Linked DNA regions of Mytilus edulis. The protein of the gene in region 2 binds, or shares a complex with, the protein of the main gene of each other region. Links are inferred from orthologs where the notes say so. Each region holds a gene or a part of one and is shown on either strand. Other genes may lie near its edges.

Region 1 (8,071 bases), on a different chromosome or scaffold from region 2:
TCTTCCAGAATACCAGAGGCAGAATCACTGTCTGTAGATTCTGTATAAGGTAGAAAATATATAAGAAATTATTCAGCAGGAAAACAAAAAGAGTCCAGACTACTGTTTGATCTTAGAATGTTGCAATAATAAAATGGCAGATGTACAAACATGGGTTACACTATATGCCCTGGCAACTTCAGACATGAACACATATATTGTATATCAAAATAGTCTACATTGTACAATAATTCATGTAAAAGGCTGAGGAATTGCTAATCTTATTATAAGAGGCATTTATCACCTACAGTTTGTACCTAGCCATTTTCAAATAAATGTTTTCAAACTAATTTGGCACTTTTCCCATATAAAACACATCATTAAAATTCAGTTTGAAAAAATAAACAATATTGCAATAATGTTCATGCTGTAAGGAAATTTGATTGTTTTATTGAATGACAGAGACTGGGATAAATATATCCACTTTTAATGTTCAAAATCTTCTAAAAATGTTCCAACAGGGTACATGTATATATTATCAAAAAATGCATGTACCAAAAATGTATCTTTGAAAACAAAGAAAATAACAGTAAAATAAAACATTAAAGACAGAACCTGATAGTCTTCATCAATTCATATTCACCAATCCATAGAAAATGTGCCTTACCTTGTAACAATGTATTAAGATGAATCAACTGTATATTTCCACAAGATTTGAATACAATTCAAGGCTGTGAAAGGTTAAAATTAAGTTAACATACATGTACATGTATGCATAATGTTACTTTGTTTAATAGTCATTTTGTTTTAAAGTGACATGAAATGAGGACACTTTTCAGGTTCATGTAAATTTAACAAGTTTGTCAAATACTTGTCTTGGTAAGATAAATGTTTATTTCATTATTTAAAGTTCACAACATGTACAATATATAATGCGAATTGGAAGTTAAATCTTGTAGTTAACTTGTAGTCAAGTTGTCTTTTAAGACTCTTTTTCTAGTATTGATTGATTGATTGTTCTTTGCTATACGCTGCATTAGCACAAAAAGGCTATATCGCGGCGAGAGCTTATTCAAATATTTTTTCTATTTTTTTCTAGTATTAAATCTCAACTCATTTTAAAATTACTATTCAATATAACCTTTAACTAAATCTGGTATGGCCGTAATAATATCTTGAACATCTTCCTCAACTGCTGTTGGTTCTAGATAAACAGAATCTAAAGTATCTGTTGTAGCAGAGTGTCTAAGAGTTGTCCCCCTTATAACTACATCAGGATTCTGGAGGTGGAATTCTTTTTCTGATAAAGATTCATCTTCTAAAAATTCTTCAACATTATCATCAGCCATTATCTACTTTACTGAAATGAATGTTTTGTGTTTAAATAATTACATGTAATATATTATTCAAATGTGTGTGTCATGATCAATAATGTAGAATTTACAAAAAATGTAGATGTTCAGCTAAACAATTTAAACTTTTGTAATGTTAATGAGCTCACTGACAGATTAGAACTAAATAGTTAAAATATCTTAAGAAATTGTACCGCTGCAATACAAAATGTGTAAAAATAAATTGATAAATTGATAAATATTGATAAATATCGTCATTAAAGCACAAAACTCTAAATAAGAGTTCACTTACCATTTCAACATTAAAGGGGCACTAGCTGTCAAATTCATGTTCACCGATTTTAATCAAATTCTCATGTTTAATTTATAACAATGTAAAACATTTATACAAAATATCAAAAGTCTAAAATAAACAATTAACAGGGCACCGCATGAAAATATGTAGCTTCATTTCGTGTGTATTTTAGTCTAAACGCCATCTAATTAATTGTCGAGTTGACCCCTAAAGTCATCCGTCCCGATGACCATATAAGCAATGTAAACATAAATATAGATATAAATAAATTAAGCAAACTCCTGCTATTCGGATTATTCTAGATCTATTTAATTTTATATTATACAATATACAAATTACATTCCATTAATGATTGAGCATAAGATATAATACATTTGATTTTTTATCAATCTCGTAGCTAGTGCCCCTTTAAGGAAAAACTCAACAAAAAATGTAAAATTGTTATTAATGGGCAATTTCTTAAAGAGTCGCCAGATGATTTCCTTGCTAAAAACCTTCTTGTAGATCTTGTTTTGCTCATCAAGTTTGCTTTATGAATAAATTTCCATCTTTCTATTATCATTTTTAACTTATTAGGCAAAAATGAGTAAAGATAATTATTAAATGACAAAAAAATCAATAAGGAGTCTTCAGACGATATCGACAAGATGTTTCGAGATATTTGAGATTTAAAATATGGCGGGAAAAGGCTGACTCAGACTTTTACCTTATATTTGCATTGGTATTATTTGGGTCTCAAAACAAAAGAAAGAAAATTAAGAATCTTCTAAAATGTTGGTAAATGACCTTTCATGAGCTATTAAGTCTTATATGAAAAAATAAATGGGTGTTATGGGGCAAAATATTTTACATTGTATTGTATGGAAAAACACCAAGGAGTCTGAACATTTGACAAAAATCCAAAACCTCACCTAAGTACATCCTTAATATTGATTTACTTATAGGGTCTTTGCATCGGAACTAAAGTAAACACATTTATTTTTAAAAAACAGTTGTTGGCATGACACGGGTTATGTTCTTCTCATATATTTCATGATAGTATGATACTGCTAATAGTTTGTTGTTATTTATGTATTATTGTCATTTTATTTATTTTCTTTTGTTACATCTTCTGACATCCGACTCAGACTTCTCTTGAACTGAATTTTAATGTGTGTATTGTTATGCTTTTACTTTTCTACATTGGCTAGAGGTATAGGGGAGGGTTGAGATCTCATAAACATGTTTAACACCGCTGCAATTTTGCACCTGTCCCAAGTCAGGAGCCTCTGGCCTTTGTTAATCTTGTATGATTTTTAATCTTAGTTTCTTGTGTATAATTGGAGTTTAGTATGACGTCCATTATCACTGTACTAGTATACATATTTTTTTAAGGGGCCAGCTGAAAGACGCTTACGGGTGCGGGAGTTTCTCGCTACATTGAAGACCCATTGGTGGCCTTCGGCTGTTGTCTGCTCTATGGTGGGTCTCATTGGGGTCTAAGCGTGACGTGGAATTGCCGATTTTTTTGTAAACGTGACGTCACAGGGGAAAGTCAATTATTGTGCCATGAAAACTAGAATTAAGGTCTAGCGGGATACGGGAAATTAACAAAAAAATGAGAATCGCTTAGGTACATAGTATAAGCAGGATACGGGAATCTGACAAAACAGTAAGCGGGATCTGGGATCAGACAGCCCAAATGAGACCCCTCTATGGTCGGGTTGTCAGGTTGTCGCTTTGACATTCACCATTTTCCATTCTTACTATTTGTCATTATATAATTTCAGACTCCAATGTTAATGGGGTATGAAAGGATAAGCATACAGGACATTCTGTCATAGACGTTAGGGGCAAACAGTATATATAAAAGAAAAGGGTAAATTGAAATCAACCTGCTAATTTTTTCGACGAACGGACACTGTGCTGTGTATACGTCATCAAATTATGTGTAGAATGTCATAAAAAATAATTTCATGAATGGAATAAAAAAGAGTATTGAAACAGATTACATTGCCATCAAATACATTTTGTCTGGCATTAGCTACAGTTATTTGTTTTAAAATAATAATTAAATAATTTTATGTTTTACTTTTTACGACTGCCGAAAATTGACTTAGGCTACTGGTTTCCGTTTCCCCCCATCCCCTGTCCGACAGAAATAATTTTAGGGACCAGACACACAGATATGGACGACGAATCGCCGGTTATTTATGGGCTAGAATTTCAGGTTATCTCCGTTATATTTGATAAAAACTGTTAAAAAATGCTTTTCCTGGAAGATAACCATAATGTCAGCTTCTCATACTAATTGGTTTTGTAAGGCATCAATCGCTTTAGAACTCGTCCCAAATTAGTCCAAATAATAAATTATATGAATATGACATCTTGCAAGGCTATTATATTTTTTTCTTTCAAAGCAAAAAAGCCTTCCAAGACGTTATAAATATTTTGACTAGTCCCAAATATAAATTGGATAGTTGCCCGTCCAAAATGGATGCACTGCTTCTTTGCACCTGGAGCCGACTGACGTCCTTGAGTCTATATAAATCGGGTCTCAAGAATTTTTTTCATTTCTAATCCATGATTCATTTATGTAAGTTTCATCTACCTGCCATCCTTTATTTTTTCATAATATGAGGCAGGCATAACCTGTGAATGGGGACGAAAATGTTAAAATAAGAGATTTGACCCCGATTTCATGGTCCACTGTACATGTTCTATGGACACATTCTAGTTTGCATATGGATAGGACAATACACCTTATCGCTAATCCCGGCTGACCTGGCCGCTTGAACTTTTGACGCATACAACAATCACTTTTTAATTGTGGCATCAGCCATTTTGTTTTATGACGTCATAATTTTACAGGAACCTGTGTGATATCCAGTAATGGCGGACAAATAGCGATAAGGTGTATATAAGTTCATACATGCAAGTGCCCACAAAAAATTTATATATGCAATGATAGTTACAAATAGTATAAATATAACATTAAACAAATGGTATTCAAAGAATACAAAAAAAGTTAAAAACAAAAACTTTAGATCCAAACCACAAATCTAAGAAATAGAAAACAACTTGTAAATATATATTGCTATTAGCAAAGGCCATCAGCAGGTTTCAATGCCTGAATTCAGAGTTAGAGCACAGGTGTAAGAAGATTTTACAGGTAAGACAGTATTTTTTTAGCGGGAAGTAGAGAGCATGTTAGTAATAAGGTGTGCTTGATTTGGAGTTGTCATTCGTCAATGTAATATGATAATCAGTACAAATGATGAACATGACACATGAAATATGATATGAGTACATGTTTAACATGTAAAAGCTTAATAACAATATTAAACATAAAGAAATAGTGCATGCAGTCGCAGTGACACAATTATTATTTGTATAACTCTTCTATAAATTTAAGTTATTAATAGAATGATATTTTTTTTATCATTCAACAGGCCAAAGCATTAACTGCACAAACAGGAGAAACTGATAAGATCAGGTTTCTTGTTGGAACTCAGTCTTTACGAGTAGAAAATCAGGTAAATCAGCAGGAACAAAATTCTTCATTAAACATGAATCATTATTTAAATATCTTGACACATTGTATTATTATTGAAACCTTAATATACTGAATTGGGCAAAGAAATAATTTTGATAAGCATGATTATTTTTCACTACCTTTGTTCTATCCTATGTCTTTGTTTCATTTTCTATTGCTTACTTGGTCAAATATGATGAGATGCCTGATGGGTTCTGGTACACTTGAGGTTATAAAATCTGTGCTAATCAGTTAAAACTTAATAACACTATAAAAATAAGGAGATGTGGTATGATTGCCAATGAGACAACTATCCACCAAAGTTCAAATGAAGTGGATATCAGCAATTATAGAATGTATAGGCAACCATAAGGCCTTTAAAAATGAGACTTCTATTCTACATGTCTGTATAACAACAGATATGATACCTAAAGATTCTGTCAGTTTTATAATTATGCATAACCTCACTGGAAAACCTAATTTTCAGTATAACCTGATACATGTGTGAAGTCTAATTGAGTTTTGAATGATATCCCATCAGGAAAAAAATGATTCTGATGTTATTTTATTTTCCAGATTCATCACATTGATTTTGATGATGAAAACAACATCATTAACAAAAACATTTACCTACATCCTGAAGGAGAGATCTGGAATATTAAGGCCTCAACCATTGATAAAGACTTAATGACAACATGTTACAATAAAAGTAAATTTAAGTTAAGCTAAATATTTGGAATGGGTAAACCGTATTAAAGGGGCACATAACAAGCATCTAATCAAATTGACAAAGAACCTTAATCCCTGAAGTCATCAAAATAAAATAAAATGACTGTATATAATAAAAAAGTAAGTTGATTAGATTTTTTTTTTACCATCCTGCCTCTTATTTCAGATCTTGGACATGACTGGTATACATGTATCGCATAGAAACTAAAATTAAAAAAATACAAAATCACCATCAAGGACAACCTAGTCATCTGTTTCTTTATAAAATTACAGATAAATAAAGAGTTAACTAAATTGTATTTGAAATATTAGTAAACAATAACTAAGATGATGATTATACCTGTACATCATCATTCAATGGTATAAACACCTCAGTGAGTACTAAGTAGTAGAATTCTTGCTTTGAGTGTGGAAGGTCCTCAGTTCAATCCCAAGTCACAGCAAATCAAAGGCTTGAAAATTCATATTTGCTGCTTGTCTGATAAGTACACAGCAGTTAGCAGTAAGAGCAAATACTGGTTTGCTCAGAGTCAGAATATGTCTACGTAGGATAACACATCCTTTTACAGACTTGTGAACTAGTATGTTGAAAATTAAATTTAAAAGTTCTGTATGTCATTTTAGTATCAAGCAGTGTTTATATTCATAATACATTAATATGTTTTTATCTGCAGCATCAGAATCAAAGACAGAAATGAAGGCAGCTATTTGGAGACTACCATCTGATTTTGATAGTGGTCAAGCAGATGACCAGTCAGCACATCCAGCTGTGCGATTGGTCTGTCACCTGAATAACTCAGAATATGGTGACATGAAAAGGTCTGTTTATAATTTTGTGCATGTTTTAATCAGAGGTAAATCATGAATGTATTAAACCAGTCACAGAAAAGTTAGAAAAAAAGCATTATAAATAATATTCATGTTCAAACTCACAGATTGTGTGTGTCTGTCTAGCTCAATAAACTCATCATATATAGATACCAGGATTGGAATATCAAATGCACATTTTGTATTCCTCACGTTTAAATAATAACACAAAAAAAAGGCCTCACAAAGTTCCAAAAAAGCAGAGTAAACATTCAAATCACTTTAACATTTTCTTGTCCTGAATATATACATTTAAATTGCTTGTGAAATGTAAAAGAATCATCAGCCTCTTTTTCAAATGTTATATCTGAGCTGGTATTTACTTACATGAAATCAACAATATCCTACTTTTTACAGTGTTTTATGGCACCCAACCGGAGATACTTCAGCTGTGATAGGCTTTGCAGATAACCATATAGTATTGTGGGATATTGACACATCTTCAAGCACTGCAAAGGTACTTATTTCAACCCTTCTTTCAATTGTGGTAAAATAATCTGTCAGAACTTTTTTTTAAACAAAAACTAAACTGTGTTATCATCTGACATCATACATTAACAGCATAATCTAATATTTCTATATTTTGTCTTGCAACTGATATTTATTTTTCTTATGCAAAATCACACCAGGATCAGAATTACCTCCCTTTGTCTTGCTACTTGTAAAGTCTTTGGAATTTCCAATTTTACAGTTAATAAATTACATTTTTTAGTGATCTAAACTTTGCAAAAAAAAGCAAGTATGATTTAATTGTATAAAATGAACAATATTTTTTCATACCCTGAAAATGTGTAAGTATTGCATTCAAAATCTGTTAACAGATGACAGCTTCCACAGGATTAGATAGTAAAGGTAACTCCAAATTCACCTGTGGTCAATGGAATCCTCATCATAATTGTACACAGATAGCCACTGCAAATGACACACACATACGAGGATGGGACATTAGGACTATGCAGTAAGTCTTTACCGCTATAAATGACTCACAAAGTCTTTTCTAAAACCATAATGATACACACAAATGACATAGGCATAATAATACCCACAAATGACATAGGCATAATAATACACACAAATGACATAGGCATTTGACTAATAGTAAATGTGGCAACAACACACGAACAGGGGTGACTAGAACAAAAGAACATTAAGTAAACATAGTGTTACGCCCTGGTGATTTTAAAGCTGATATTTTACTGTGGTCTTCGTTCCACACTTGATACACGCAAATGTCCGTTGTTGTGTTCTGATTCGTAATTTACAGAAGAAATAGCTTACTTTGACCCTGTATTAAATGCTGACTTCTTTAAATCTATATATCGACTCTGTTTATGT
Region 2 (8,271 bases):
ATAAAAAATATATATATGCATCATGTGTATGTTATATTGATACTATTTAATAAAGTTGTTTTCTTCTGAAATGATTTTTTTTCTGTACCATTTTTCCCCACATTGTTCAACTAATCATGCTAATGGAAACAATGAACATGATAAACTGTCCATTTGTAAAAGAACTCAAGACTTGGGTGAGTAAATTATCAAAAAGCTCAACAATAAACTGTAAATACTAAATTATAAGTGGCAAAAGTGACTTTAAGCTTCTAAATATATATTGCAAAAGACTTACACTTCTGATTCATTTTTTGACAAAACATATATGATATGAGGCTGAGATTCCATTTCTGATCCTTCACCTTGCATGGATATGAGTTTTTCAAGGTCAACCTCAGTAACAGAATCTGTTGGTATGGTGATGACCTGTCCAAGGTCATCTTCATTTTTAACTGCATATTCAAAATGTCCAGAGCCATTCGTAGTTGCATATTCTGTTGGCATGGTGATGACCTGTTGATGTTCACTTTCAGTTAAAGAGGTATATTCTGTTGGTATGGTGATGACATGCCCTTCATTCCCATCCATATATTGCAACATATCCATAGGAATTGTTATGACTTGTGTACCAATGTCATCAATGTCTGCAGGCAAAATAACCTTATGTTTAAGGTCATTGTCTGTTATTGCCATGGCAACAGTATTTTCATTGCCATCAATTGTGTTTTCTGTTGGCAAAGCGATCACATGTTCTTTAATATCTCCATCTGTTGTTGCTATGACAACAGCATCTTCAGGAATAGAATTAACATCTACATCAGACATAATGGAAATGTTTGACTGTTCACAAGACTTTACAGGTAAAATATTATGCTGTGTTTCTCCAGAAATTAAATAAGTTACATGTGTTTCCCGACCTATTCCTACAAAAAAAGACAGTCATCAGTTTTGTTCAAATTGATTATCATTATTAACTCGTCCTAGATACCAAGATTGAAATTTTTCACGCCAGAAGCATGTTCATCTCAGCAATGCTCTAAAAAAAGAAATTTAAAAATGCAGATATTTAGTAACAAGTTATAAAAGCATTGAAAGCCCAAATTTATTTATTGTCAAGATAAACTGTGTAAGTTAGTCATTATATTCAGCTGCTCTATGTCAATGATGGCTGCATTTTTGAACGAGAAAATCTAACAGGGACATGGGAGAGGGAGTGAATTATTTGAGTTATTGTAAACATGGTAAGAGTTAAAATTTCAAAAGATTTCAATTTTATGAATGTATAAACGTTTACAAAATTATGTTGTCATTGTTTATCATCTGTCTCTCAGTGTGTATAGCAAGAAAATATATGCAAATTAAGGTGGTACCTAACACTACAGGGAGATAACTCTATAAAGTCAGCTTAACGTTTTAATTACGTTGTGTTGTAAAGGGAATATTAAGCTTCTCAATGATCAAAATTGGTGTATGTCAAACTGCTATATAACCAGTGTAATTTTTCTGACAAAACGGTTGGTTCAAAATCTTTGAAATTTTTATATTTTTGTTAAAGGGTCAAAGTAAATACATTTGTACTTTGACAAAATTTTATGAAAATTAAACATGTCAAATCAATTTTAGTGAAAGTGTTGGGTACCACCTTAAGAAAAAGGAATGTGTTTGAGGACTCGTCCTACTAACACAATAAAAAGTAACCATGGTAACTATCTTTACCAGAATGGAGATTTTCTGTTGTGGAATTACTATCGTCACCATTAATACTGTTCATAATATTTGAGCTGTCCATAGTGAAATTAACTATTAAATGATTCTCATTTCCATCCATTCTAAAAAATAAATTAGAAACATTATACAATCATGACAATAGCTACAAAAATAAGGATAGAAATATGGCGTTATGTCATAAATTTGCTTCATTAGAGTGCAATTTGTGATTTAAAAGTTATCAGTAATGTCTAGATGTCCAATACATGTAATATTTAAACAAATTAATTGATTGTGCCACAAAACTTTCCAAGTCAGAAGCCTGTTATTCAGTGGTTGTTGTTTGTTACCATACATGTTTATCATATATATATTTATTTTTGTTTGAAGTTTTTTTGGTTTTGTACGTAAATCAGGCTTTTGTTGTTTTTCTCATTTCAATTGTTTTCCGTTTTGTTATGTCATGTATGTGAAATTTAAAAAAAAAGATGTGATATATTGCCAATGAGACAACTCTACGCAAGAGACCAGATGACACAGAAATTAACAACTACATGTATAGGTCACCTTTTGAAACCTGCAAATTAGTATGGGTTTGACTTATCATTAATGACTATATATTCACTGACCTACAGTACATGTACATGTGTACCTTATATCTACTCATTTGTTTTCTGGTCATGCTGCCAGGTGGATAGAGGTCTCATTGGCAATCATACGAGGATTCATACATCTCCTTAGTCTATGTTTTGAAAACTTTCAGGTTTAAATTTCAAAATACTGTAATGTCGATGTTGATTGTCTTTGTTTATTCAACATGTTTTAAAAACAAGCTTGGACGCTTAAGACATAGTAGGAAGGTGTCACAGCAAGAAAGACAAACAGCTGAAGGACGCTTCCGGGTGCGGGAATTTCTCGCTGCATTGAAGACCTGTTGGTGACTTTCTGCTGTTGTCTGTTCTATGGTCGGGTTGTTGTCTCTTTGACACATTCCCCTTTTCCATTCTGAATTTATTTGAAGGCGTCATAGCAAGGTGGGTTGTAATAAAGGAACCTTGATGAAGAAGGGTACCTTTGCAATTCATGAAAAATATCGGTAAAAAATCTTACCAAAGGATGTTAACCATGTCAACGGTAATATTTAGTGCATTTTGCTAAAATATACATTTTCTACTTGACATGCTTGATAACAAAAATCAACTGATTTTGACAAATCACAATCAAATAATTATTTGAGACCTCTGACCTGGGATCAGTATATCTAAGGGAAATGATTCTGATCATGCATAAAGGCTTTTCAGTATAAAATTAATAAAGTACCGAGCTACATGAAACTTTACTAGATTAATAGATTTTTGAAGCATCACACTGCAAAAGCATTGAGATTGCTCAATAAATTATCCATATTAAAACAAACTCAACAAATATAAATTTTATTCTAATCATTCTAATGTAGGTATATTTTGTCATACATGTATAAAATTACCAATATACATGTGATTTCTTTGATGTAAAGTGCCATCAGCGCCATTTTATTATTACCCTTTTTGCATTTTGTACTCTTCTGTGATGAAATTAATGTGAATTATGACAATTTTGATGTGACAGAATGCAATTTAGGTGCACTGGCATTTAATGAAATCAGTAGTAATTAGTCAATGCGAGAACATATTTTACAGATGTCGGTTTCTGTATGGTGTTATTGATTAACTATGACTTGTTAATGAAATCGGCTAATATTAGGTAACTACATGTAGTGTCAAGTCTCTTCAATATACAATGTATATGTTCCTGCTCCGACAAATAGCGATATAATGGATATTTTGATATATCACTTTATTTATTTTTTTACCAATTTGACACTAGCGTAAGATGAGAATGACTGTTTAACTCTGACATCAATAAAATTGAGAATGGAAATGGGGAATGTGTCAAAGAGACAACAACCCGACCAAATAAAAAACAACAGCAGAGGGTCACCAACAGGTCTTCAATGTAGTGAGAAATTCCGGCACCCGGAGGCGTCCTTCAGCTGGCCCCTAAACAAATATATACTAGTCCAGTGATAATGAACGCCATACTAATTTCCAAATTGTACACAAGATTGTACACAAATTGTACACATTTCAAGAATGTATCACAGCAAAAAATTAAATTGGCCTTTTTTATTTTAGTTAAATTTCGGGGTACTTGGGTAAGGTTGTTTTATACCTACAGGAACCGTAGCTCTCATGTCCTTATATTTTTTTTTCTCTATTTGTGGACTATCCGCAAAATAAAAAAAGATATATAGAAAGGACCATAAAACTATTAAAAGATACGGTTCCGCAGCTAGATGGTTTTACTGACACATTTAGGTTTTAAGGTATGAAGGTTTAAAAATCGCTTTATGTACAAATAAGTTTTAGGACTGTTGCTGGTGTTTTGTAGTGGTAAGTATATTTAGAGTCATTGTCATATTGATTAGATAAAGGGGTACATGATCTCAGGTGCTCCGGAAGGGTAGGAAAATCGTGCTCCTAATTTGGCACACGTACGACTGATCTATCTGGGTAAAACATTTCAAGAAAATTCATTTCCTGAAAACAACTTTGGTGGGAATAAATGTTTTTTTTTAGTCATTGTGAATGTGAGCAAAATGCATATATGGCCATACTTTGTATCAGAGAAAAAATAAACAGAGAAAATTGTCACCGGAAGTACTGTCAAAATAGTAAACCCCGGACACGTTACGGAAAATGGCTGTCTCACGAGAGGAGGCGAGACTTTGAGTTTGATCCTGATATTTTGCAGAAATGAAACGTAGCTGACGACAATTCTTAATATGTTCCATGTATGTCAGTTGATAAAGTAATGATGACTCACTTAGTTGAGTTTTGAACTTGTAGAATAATCAGATAAAACCCCTGTTCGTCTGACAAAATCAGACATATCAAATGAGACATTTGTCAAATTTTATAGGTGGAAATCAAACAAATTTAAGTTATTATTAATTTCACTTTGATGTATATATAGATCTGCTTAACAACCTTTATACCTATACCTGCGCTATATCTTTATGAATATACCTGCTCCATGATCCTTCTGATTATACCTGCTCCGTGTATTTATGAACATACCTGCCCCGTATCTTTATGAAATGCATATGGGTCTCATTGGGGTCTAAGCGTGACACGGTATTGCCGATATTTTGTAAGCATGACTCGCGAAAGTCAAATTATTGTGTGTGAAAACTGGAAATGAAGTTTAGCGGGACAAGGGAAATTGCAAAAAAAATGAGAATTGCTTACGTACATAGTGTAAGTGGGATACAGGAATCTGACAAAACAGTAAGTGGGATCCGGGATCAGAACCCCCCAATGAGACCCCCCTATGAATATACCATGTGAACCTGCTCTGTATTTTTCTGTTTACTCTTTGCCTATGTATATAACTGTTCTGTATCTTTATAAACATACCTGCTCCAGTCCATATCTTTATGATTATAACTGCTCCATATCTTTATGCAGATACCTGCTATGTATCTATGAATAAACCTGCTCCATATCTTTATGAATGAACCTGCTCTGTATCTTTATGAATACTCATATACCTATACCTATGTATGTAACTGCTCAGTATCTTTATTAATATACCTGTTCCGTTTCATTATCATGCATATATCTGCTGACCTCAGATGTGGTACCTTTCATAAATCTACAAGTTTAACGCAGGTCTGTGTAAATACAAGTTGTTCTTTGAGTAATTAACTTTTCAAAACACTAGTTTATATAGCAAATGTATAGCATGTATAGATAGGGGATTAATAAAGGAATCCAAAGAGCAAAAAAAATACATAGGTCACCGTGCTTGTTTTCAAAATATAAGCCATTGAAATTTTGGCGGGAAAATATTCTCTCTTGACTTTTCATAGCTTTATCATTGACAAGTTGAAGTTCTCAAAAATTGTTAAAAAGTAATTAAAATTTTATAAGAATTTAACAGATGGCTTATCATTATCAATGATTATACATGTAAAAGATTTACAAAAAGAAAAATGGGGGTCACCTGGCAAATTTTTTCAAGGCATTCAAATGGATAAAACCAGAGGATTCTGAAAATCTGACAAAAAATCTAAAACATGACAAGCCAGCTTCCTTAATATTGATAGGATGCAATCCTTTATTCTGTTTTCCATTAAGATCATACCTGCCAACTGTCACTATTTGCATTGGATTTCTCCGATGAAAGCTCCCAAATAGATATTTTAAAAGAGCAATTTTGTCCAAAATTTTAAACAAAACAGTTAATTTTACAATGCTTTAAAAAGTATGAATAAGCCAAAAAACAACAATAAGATACATGTACATTTGAAGATCCCCTTGAAGTTTTTTTAAGACGGTAAGAGCCATCTTGCACGTAAAACACCCATGAACATTTTGAAAAGTTGGCAGGTACATAAAATTGAGAATGGAAATGGGGTATATTCATAAAGATACATGTATGTATACATGATGTAAGATCTTTCCTTTAACAAACGAATTCAGAGGGGATTTTGGGGTAAACATATATATATTGTATTGCGCAAGGAGAAAATTGTTAAAGATAATTTATAAAATGAGGACCTGTCTGTACGTATTAGCCTATGGATCAGTTTTGAAAAAGAGGTGAATGTGCAAAGGGGAGGTGGCACACATATTTTGAGTTACAAAAATGAGTTAGTTGTTCAGAGGTGATACCACTCTGATGCATTCTCAGTGATATCATGGATAGAGGTCAGACTCTTTTCCAACAGATCAGGCCAAATAAAAATATATGTGTGGTTCCAGTGACCCTACCCTCCCTACTTTTTCGTCTTGAAATTAGCCTACATGTACCCGAAAGATTTTATTGTCATTTTTCATTAAGCACTGTTAAAGTCAGAATGATGCTTCCATAGACTCAATGTAAAAAAAAACACCATAAAATAAAAATAATCCCTACCTACCTACATGACCTACCCTAACTTTTTTTCAGATGTAACTGGAACCACACATACTATTTTATTTGGCCTCATCATTTAAAATTATGAAATTTGGTATGATTGCCATGAATAAAACATGTAAAACATTACCATCCTCCAGTGTTCAAATGATTTATATGTTAATAATAATAGGTCACTGTTTGACAACATGATCAAGCTATAAAGAGGAACAGAGATGACAAAATTTTGAAAAATCAAGTTATGAAAACAACTGCCTGATTTGTGGTAAAAATACTAAATTAAAGAAAACACATTAAATATATATAAATAACAGTTCTTAGGATATAAAACTCCAAATTCAAATTAAGACATAAATTGACCAATCAAATAACTTAAGAATTTCAGTGGTCATGCACAAAAATTATTATACATGTCAAGTTATCTAAGGACAGAAGAAAGATACAATGTAAGGGGAGATAATTCCGACTTTTTAATGTAAGAAAAATAGGCAAATATTATTAGAAATATAACCCCTGACCATGCTGACTGTATGGTATAGAACAATTATTGATTCAAAAGGGACTATCAATTTACCAAGAAATGGCTAAATTTTTTTTAAATTCCTTGTTTATAATTATTACAAATTGTGCTAGTTTATCTCGGTCAATTTATCATCAACATGATTTACATGATTTGTGTGCATGGTCTAAAGTATAATCATGATTCAATGTGTAAAAGCAGTATGAGAAAAAATTGTAGTATCCAATCCCTGCCTCATCAAAAACAAGCTATGGCAATCATGCCAATGTATGGCATGAACTAAGTAAATTGAACTATAGTTTAAAAAAATGGATGTTAGGCCACATCAATTTGATTCCTTGTTCGACGGACCCGCCCGCACCTATTTTTTTCAAAACAGAATTTTTTTATTTTTTTTATATTCCCGCTTCCCGCATCCGGAAATGTAATCATGTCTATTTCCCTCACCGTTTTTTTTGTAAATATTATAAAAAGATATCAACATTGGTTTCTTTCCCCCTTACTTATATTCCCTATCAAAACATGTTCGTTGTTAGAATAAAGTACAAAGAACTTCTGAAGGATTTGCCTTCAACTGCAATTATATTGTATGCTGGCAAAACAAAACTATCTATAGCCGCTGCATGTTTATGCACCTGTCCTGATTGATTCAGGGGCCTGTCGTTCAGCAGTTATCGTTTGTTGATGTTGTTCATTGGTATTTTCCCGTTTGGATATATAAATTAGATCGTTGGTTTTCCTGTTCGAATTGTGTACGCTAATAATTTTGGGATCCTTTATAGCTTGCTGTTTGGTCTGTATCAAAGCCCTGTGTAAAAGGCGTACTTTGACCTGTGTTTATTATTGTCAGGTTGAGAACAACCCTCCCTCAGACAAGGGGTCATTTTACTGATGTAGAAAAGAAAATAGAAATACCAAGGATTTGTATAGTTCTTCTATACAAAGCTTTTGAAAAACTTAAAATTTGGTACTCAAAAAGAGGAGAGTTAGGCAGCAACCATTTGATTTTCTGGGGGGGGCTATGGTTTTTTTTTGGAAAAAAAAGTTTGTTTCCAGGTTTTGGTGAAAAAAATAATTTGTTTTGGACCCTGAGAAAAAAA

The links.
Region 1: trafficking protein particle complex subunit 9-like (region 2) and trafficking protein particle complex subunit 12-like share a complex: the UniProt entries of both Homo sapiens proteins name them as parts of the multisubunit TRAPP (transport protein particle) complex. The link is inferred for Mytilus edulis from reciprocal best matches to the Homo sapiens genes TRAPPC9 and TRAPPC12.

The regions. Positions count from the first base shown.
Region 1 is NC_092344.1:109,874,228-109,882,298, forward strand, and holds the start of trafficking protein particle complex subunit 12-like, read right to left. Parts: upstream 3,594-8,071; 5' UTR 3,501-3,593; intron 1,340-3,500; 5' UTR 1,329-1,339; coding exon 1,121-1,328; intron 41-1,120; coding exon 1-40. Other genes in the region: EARP and GARP complex-interacting protein 1-like, read left to right, coding at 3,794-3,835, 5,058-5,141, 5,717-5,849, 6,544-6,688, 7,094-7,193, 7,558-7,694. UniProt on the Homo sapiens protein: Component of the TRAPP complex, which is involved in endoplasmic reticulum to Golgi apparatus trafficking at a very early stage.
Region 2 is NC_092355.1:34,285,693-34,293,963, forward strand, and holds the start of trafficking protein particle complex subunit 9-like, read left to right. Parts: upstream 1-4,404; 5' UTR 4,405-4,522; exon of another isoform or gene 4,523-4,539; intron 4,540-8,271. Other genes in the region: uncharacterized protein, read right to left, coding at 278-905, 1,699-1,810. UniProt on the Homo sapiens protein: Functions as an activator of NF-kappa-B through increased phosphorylation of the IKK complex. May function in neuronal cells differentiation. May play a role in vesicular transport from endoplasmic reticulum to Golgi.